2 linked regions of the Caenorhabditis elegans genome follow. The protein of the gene in region 1 interacts with the protein of each later gene in a pairwise test. Each region holds a gene or a part of one and is shown on either strand. Other genes may lie near its edges.

Region 1 (3,930 bases):
TATGAATAAAATATAAAAAATTTATAGAAAAAATTCATTTCCACAATGACGTGTTCAGTTGGAATGATTGGTCAATTTTCAAGGTTTGGAATAGTTTGTGTTAATGGGCATTATGTTGGGGTATTTCAAGGCTTAACATTTAGATAGCCAGCGTATGTCATGATGTATTGTGTAGGCATAAAATGCCTGCTTGATTTCCTACAAGAAAACCTAGATCTATTGTGTACCAACCCGCAAAAGCTCTCTTTTGTAGTAGGCGAAAGGTAGGCATGTGTGCCTTGAGACAAAGCTGTTGCTTTCTTCTCAGGATTTGTTCCATATTCTTAAGAATTAGAAGCTTTTGTGAGAAAATTTAAAGAGTGTAAACTTCTATCAAACTTCTCTTTTTTCAGTTACGCAATATGCAGCCCAAACTTATGGATGATTGTTGCTTGTACATGCATGACACTCCTTACAATGCTTATGACGTTATATATGAATTGCGGGTTTCGAAGGAATGTACGATGGCTGAAGTTCACTGAGTGGAAGGTTTGTGTTCATTAGATCAGATTGTTAGTGCAGGTTCAACGTATCTTCCTTTTCGGGCCCTGCCTAAATATTTCATCCGACCGAGGCGTAATGATCATTGATGATCACGTAATCGCCATCCTCTTGCAATAGGCGCCTTCCGGTCGAGAGGGGTGAGCGTGAATTGTGAAGCTCACTTCTATTCATATTTCAGCTCCAGCAACTCGCCGAACGTCTCCGCATTCAAGAGCCAAATGTAGGTCTTCTTATGCAAGTAACCAGAAAAGTGAATGATAAGAAGAACAGTGATAAGAAAGAATTCGACTTTTTCAACAATCGAGATCAAAATAACAATATCGCAGGAGCATTGAATGAAGTGGCAAGTAAGACAAGTAATGGCTCAATGGGATCAACGGATGTAGTTGCTGCTCAAATCAGAAAGGCGAGAGATGAAGACGTAGAGAAAGTGTTGCGGGAGAGTAATATGGATATTCTTACTCCTGATGTGTATGTTTTAAGTTTGAATTTTCTGAAAATGATTATATTTTCAGCCAACCCACTCAACCAAGCACTGGAGGATCTCAGAAAATTCTGAAAAAGTGGACAGGAGCAACAATAGATCTCTTCTCGAAAGATGAGGATGAGAATGAAGGGAAAGGAAAAAAGGAAAGAAAAAATAAAATTGATCGAACTCAAGAGGATTGATTTTTAATAAAGATTTTTCATTAAAAAATTCCCATTGGGTTTCAATATAAGAATTTCCTGCACCATAGTTATGGCCCAGGAGCCAGCCAGAAGTATAGTCACAAAGCGTATTATCAGGTCTATCAGTATTCATAGAGAGTATTCATACTTCTGGTTTTTTTTGTCGCTACTTGGGCTGATATTTCAGTTTCACAAGATACATTCCCAACCATCACTATTCAAAAGTCGACGGGGCTCCTGCTCGGAAAAGTTTGACAAAAGAAACCCAGGATAAAAAGAACTGCTTCAAATAAATGATTTCAAATAGTTAAAATCACAAAAAACTAGATATCAATTTTAAATCGCTCGGCTCCTCCGATGAGCACATAATCCTTTTTGAGCTCATGAAGAGTCCGCAGCCAATATTTTTAGGGCAAGTCTTACGGGTACGGTAGTTGAACAATTAACTCGTGTTAAGATCTGGAAATTGCCTCGATATTGAGCAAAAATCGAGAGAATTGTTTGCGATTTACTTTAGTTATACGTGTTACAGTTTTAAAACAAAATGAAGAAAAACACGAAAATTAATAAAATTCGAAAGTTATATTTTTAATGAACTTCCTCAGCGTGGCACTCTAATTTGGTTGGCATCTAAGCTCCGCCCACATCAATGCCTATAAAAGATCAGTTTCTTGATAAAATGATTCATTCATCGATTTAACACCAACTCACTTCAACTAGTACAACTACTAACATTCTCCACAATGCAAGGACAAGGATCACCATTCTGCCGTTCTAGGTATGTATTACATGAGCCCGAGTCTTATGTCTCAAGTTACCATGAATATTTTAGAACCCGCTCGAGATCTCGTGGAGCTTTCAATCGTAGCTCCAACCACGGTTCAGTGCTTCCAATTCAGCCTGCCGTATTGGATTCAATTGCCGAGGAATCATCGTCTACTATCATGACAGTAGTCAATCCTTTGATGGTGGCAGCAAGACAGCTCAAATTTGCTTGCCAGATGGCTCATGGAAGTCCAGTTGGAATCATCGACAAATGGAACAATATGGAGGAATTGTATCAATCAATTGCCGATTGCTTTACAATTTCAAAAGATGATATCATTTTCCTGACAGTCAATGATTTTAAGGTTAGTTTTGACATAAATAAGTCAAATTCTTATTCTAAATATTTCAGCCAGACATGAAGAACATGTTCACTGGAACACTGAACTTCAAGGATATGCTCTTCGCCCACATTCGCGGACAAGCAACCGAGCTCCGAGTCGTCAAAGATGCTAAAAACTTTGGAGTGACAATCACGGACAACGGACTCGGGAATGCATTTATCAAGGTCATAAGCCCAGATTCGGTGTTTGATCGTATGCGTCCAGCCACTCAAGTTGGTCAACTCATTGAGGCGGTCAATGGAGAATGTGTGCTCGGGAAAAGGCATTACCAAGTTGCCCGAATTTTGAAAAATGTTCGTCGCGGCGAGGAATGCGTGGTTCGATTGATTGCTCCAAAGACTGCTGATCCAGGAACCATGAAGACGACTGGAAAAACTGGCGGAGGTCTGGCAAAAGGAACCATTCGTTTCAAATCGGAAGGCGGATTTGCTGTTGAGGATGTTCAAGATCAGATGATCCAAGCTGAGATGTGCGGAAAGCTCAATGAGATATTCGACCAATACTTGGGAGTTCAAGATGATCAGCTGGCCATGAGAATCTGGGAAACTGCTTCAAACTGCGAGACGCTTTTGCAACTCAGTGAAGCCATCAAAGAGTCGGAGCTCTCAATGTTCGATTTCCCGGATGGAATGGTTTTCGATATGTGGGGAATCATCGGTGATTTGAAGCGGGAGCAACGTGAGAAGAAGCCATCCCCAGTCATGAAGAATGCGATTTCAAGACCATCGGCTATGAAACTCTTTGAGTAACTTTTACTGTGGAATAAATTATTTTAATCTCCGAACTGTCTTAAATTGGTTTAAAGTATATCCCACTAACTTTTCAAATTTATTCGATTCACAAGACTTGAAAAACACTCTTTCCGCTGCTTAGTTCGATTGTTTCATTCAGCACATCTTATTCTCCAACAGGCATCCGCATTTCATAAGCCTCTAGAAAATCATAGCATTCATCGATTCCCAGTTTAAATGCTGTTTAAATGAAGCTTCAAATTTATTTTATTTTTCTTTTGTCAAAATGTTTATTTTAAAACAGCGTTTTGTCAAAAGTATGTATTCAATTTTATGCTTTCCCATTGGTTTCTCATTGGAGCTCTCGAGCTCCAAATGTCCGTTACACCATGTCCACCTGCAACCTAGTTAGAAGCGAAAGATAAAATCTGCATAAACTTCAAACGTTTTGTATTAATTTGTAAGATTTTAACGCTTATTTACATAAATACAGTTTATTTTTTTCGAGATCATAAGATTTAGTTCTCAAACGAACTTTGGATATGTGCAATACGAGATGATTCCTAATGTTCATGGTCGAATGACATTTGCCGCCACTTTTTCAGCAATTACACACCAATTGCCATGTTCAAAAGTTGCTGAGACGACTTTTAGACTCTCCACGGAATCTACTAAATCGGCAAGTTCACCGTCTTTGAAAACATGATAGAAGCGGTAGAATGTGACCTGAAAATGGAAAATTATTAGCTGAAAATCTCTTAATTTAATTGTAAGTAAAATCGCAGCTTGGTAATCCTCGTTAGCTTTGAAGTTTAAAA
Region 2 (3,767 bases), on another chromosome or scaffold:
CAAACTTCCGTCGTGCTTTTAGTTGTTTTTAAAACGCCCGTAGTATTCAAAGATTTTCGTGTCTTTCTTGTCAATTCTTCAACTTTACAGTTTTTCATGTGCATAATAGTTGTCTTCACACAAGTCAGGTTAGTTGTACGATAATATTAATTTTTAGCTAACACTGTTCCTTCAGACCTGTGAACAATCCAGAATCGTCAGCATATCTTTTTAGCGGGTTTTGTAGACACACTCATAAAAATGCTTGCTTTTTCAGTTTTGATTTTTTCCAGGTAAGTGTCCTGTAATTGTTATTTTTTACAAATATTCAAAATTCAGTTAGTCTTTGATGCCTCGTCCTTTGCAATTCCTGCTACATTGTTTTACAAATATACAAAAGTAACAAATATTAATATGAAAAACATAACTAAAAATCAAATCAGAATGATTCTTTTAAGCTCTTACCTTCTATCTTTAATTGTGGGGGTGAGTTTTGCTTTTCGTGATTGATCTAGAATGGAAATATGAATGTTTCTAGGTGATCTATGTGATAACGTACGAACCAGACGAATCTCTTGAGGTTGCTTCAGAGACCAGGAAGTTTCATTCAACACAATATGATTTCCGGTACTATGCGGATATCACTGGATATCAAAAACATTTTTGGAGCTGGTTAGCAACAAATTTGAATATGATAAGCATTTTCGTCCCACCAATCATGAGTATTGTGTTTATTAGGTAATAAATTTGAGTTTCGAAGAAATACTTACCAATGTGTTTCCAGACTAATACAAATTAAACTCAACAGTTTAAAACATTTATTTACTGATAAAACTGCTGCTCAAGCCAAGAAGTTTGATCTTGCTTTGACGATTCAGACACTTGTCCCTGCAGTTTGTGTGATTCCTATATACATAGCTCACTTAATACTTGAGAATTATGGTAGGCTCCTGTCCGTTTTTACAGTAAAATAATATGTGACAATTTTCAGACTTGCCGTTTCTCTCAAATTTTGAAAAAGTTCTATATATGATGCTTTCTCTTCCAACAGCTATTGATGCGTTCATTGTTATTGTCACCATCACACCGTACCAAAAAGCCTTTATTGCGTTTTTCAAGGATACGTTTTGTGGCAAAAAAGTTTCACCTGCAATTGTTAGACGTAACAATATTTCGGCTGTTTCCATTTTTTGAGCATTTTGAATAATTGGTAATGATAGTGGTGGACTAATCGGAGTAGTAATCGGAACTTTGCTCAATTGAATAAAATAACATTGTTCAAAGATATTACACAAGCACTTTTATAACAGTAATAAAAAATACCGACAAATGAAAAACATTGTTCGAAGATCTGCAAATAAAAATAACGATGAAAAAATATTTACAGTTCAACATTACACTTTAAAATAAAGTGCCAAAGCTCTCAAACAATTATTGTTAAACAAGTTTTTGGATCTAGAGAGACTATTCACCGTATTTCCTCACCAAATTAATTCATTTTGACGTCTAGTGTCGCACTACGTTTTAACGATACTAGAAATGTGTTATTAAAGCCCTAAGAAAAAGCTTATTGTTTATATTTTGCTAGTTGGCGAATGTCTGACAAAATTAAAAAAACAACCGAAAAATAAGCAGCTAAAGATGGAGAGATGGGTGCAAGACTATTGGACACGGAAATTATTTTTTTTTTAAGCAAATAAAATTTTAAAATTCCTGAAATCATAGTTGTGTTTTCATATTGAAAACTTGATCAATTGATCTTCCCTCAACTGTGCTTGCACAAAAATAGACACAATTCAAAGAGACGCAGAGGAATTAACAGTCACAAAAATTGTTACACTGTCTATGGTCTCTTCGGGAAGTAACTTTGAAAATACTCTCTACGTAAACAGATATTTCATATTTTAGTCACGGAAACTACAAACTTCCATTCAACCATGAAATAATTTTAACTGCAATGAGTATAAAAAGAAAACATTAAACTGCATTTAAACATCACATTCATCTGATTGACATTTTATTTTTGTAATCTCAAAATAATGGCTCGCTTTTCTGGAAAGTCTGTCATTATAACTGGTTCTTCTAATGGAATCGGAAGATCGGCTGCTGTGATTTTTGCAAAGGAAGGAGCTCAAGTTACAATTACTGGAAGAAATGAAGATCGCCTAGAAGAAACCAAACAGCAAATATTGAAAGCAGGAGTTCCAGCTGAGAAGATTAATGCCGTGGTTGCTGATGTTACCGAAGCATCAGGACAAGATGATATCATCAACACGACTCTTGCTAAATTCGGAAAAATTGATATCTTGGTATGTACATAGATAGAAAATGAAATATACTCAATTGTTTTAGGTTAATAATGCTGGTGCCAATTTAGCTGACGGAACAGCTAATACGGATCAACCAGTGGAGTTGTATCAGAAAACATTCAAGTTAAACTTCCAAGCTGTGATCGAAATGACTCAGAAAACAAAGGAACATTTGATAAAGACAAAAGGAGAGATTGTAAATGTTTCCAGTATCGTTGCTGGCCCACAAGCAGTAAGCTTCGGGAGAGAGGATTTCAGAACTTTTGTTTTAATTTTCAGCACTCTGGATATCCATATTATGCTTGCGCAAAAGCTGCGCTTGACCAATACACCAGATGCACTGCAATCGATCTTATTCAACATGGTGTCCGCGTAAATTCTGTCAGCCCTGGAGCAGTTGCCACTGGTTTCATGGGAGCGATGGGTTTACCAGAAACTGCATCTGACAAGCTTTACAGTTTTATTGGCTCACGGAAAGAATGCATTCCTGTTGGGCATTGTGGAAAGCCAGAAGAAATTGCCAATATCATTGTATTCCTGGCTGATAGAAACCTCTCATCTTACATTATTGGACAATCGATTGTTGCTGATGGAGGATCAACTCTTGTTATGGGAATGCAAACACATGATCTTATGTCCGTTCTTAGTCAGTAAACTATAACTTTTTTTTTCAGATTTTGTTAACCATTGTTATCTAATGTAATAGTCGTAAAATACACAATAAAATACATTGAATACTTTTATATAAATTGTGGTTTTAGGAATATATTACTTTTCTTTCGTTCACAAAGAAAAACAAGAGTTTCTGCTGCAGTTAGAAGTGTTGCTCCAACATATAATCCAATGGTTCCTCCAATTTCGGCTGAAAACTTTCAAAGTTACAAGCACATCGAGTAAAACTCACCAAGAAGTAAAAATAAGTTGTAGGATCTTTCTTGAAGAATAGTCTCTTGTTTAAAGTGTGCAAAATAGAACTTGATGTGAAGAAGATTTACTCTGAAAAAAGTTTGTTCCGTTGAAAGTACCAAGTTTAATGTTTATTTGCACGCATACACTCAATTAGAACAAGACGTCACGGCGGCGTCGTTTGCCATCACTGAGCTCACCCTACTCACAACTCAGATTACGCTTAAAAGACTTACACATCATATTGAGGAGTTGGAGAATATGACTGGGCCATCAAAACTTGGTTTCGAAGTCTTGAAAGCCATTCGCCACGGATGAATCGAGTTTTCTTTAAAATATAGAAATTAAAATCAGATCTTGATTTTTAAACTTTGAAATATTTTCTTATTTTATGTATTATTCGATTTTCCCCGTTGATCTTCTATGTATTACATTTTGTTACTATTTATCAAATTTCGAATAAACAAACAAACAAATAAATGTAATTTTTAGGTATTTTGAATATTTCAAAGTCAGTAATTATTCTTGCCTTTAAATTTGGCGCTTTTTCGTGAAGTTCATCCAAACATTTCG

The links.
Region 2: the proteins of gipc-1 (region 1) and F25D1.5 interact in a two-hybrid assay, tested with the Caenorhabditis elegans proteins (one large-scale study listed by BioGRID).

The regions. Positions count from the first base shown.
Region 1 is NC_003281.10:4,868,885-4,872,814, forward strand, and holds gipc-1 (PDZ domain-containing protein), read left to right. Parts: upstream 1-1,893; 5' UTR 1,894-1,955; coding exon 1,956-1,990; intron 1,991-2,044; coding exon 2,045-2,342; intron 2,343-2,389; coding exon 2,390-3,130; 3' UTR 3,131-3,377; downstream 3,378-3,930. Other genes in the region: C35D10.3 (uncharacterized protein), read left to right, coding at 46-83, 393-528, 722-1,014, 1,059-1,212; C35D10.12 (Methyltransferase type 11 domain-containing protein), read right to left, coding at 3,683-3,838.
Region 2 is NC_003283.11:10,545,004-10,548,770, reverse strand, and holds F25D1.5 (DeHydrogenases, Short chain), read left to right. Parts: upstream 1-1,987; 5' UTR 1,988-2,018; coding exon 2,019-2,288; intron 2,289-2,331; coding exon 2,332-2,520; intron 2,521-2,567; coding exon 2,568-2,942; 3' UTR 2,943-3,028; downstream 3,029-3,767. Other genes in the region: srd-34 (Serpentine receptor class delta-34), read left to right, coding at 91-128, 176-272, 319-465, 518-717, 764-921, 971-1,173; degt-1 (Acid-sensing ion channel 1), read right to left, coding at 3,029-3,150, 3,193-3,284, 3,431-3,522, 3,724-3,767.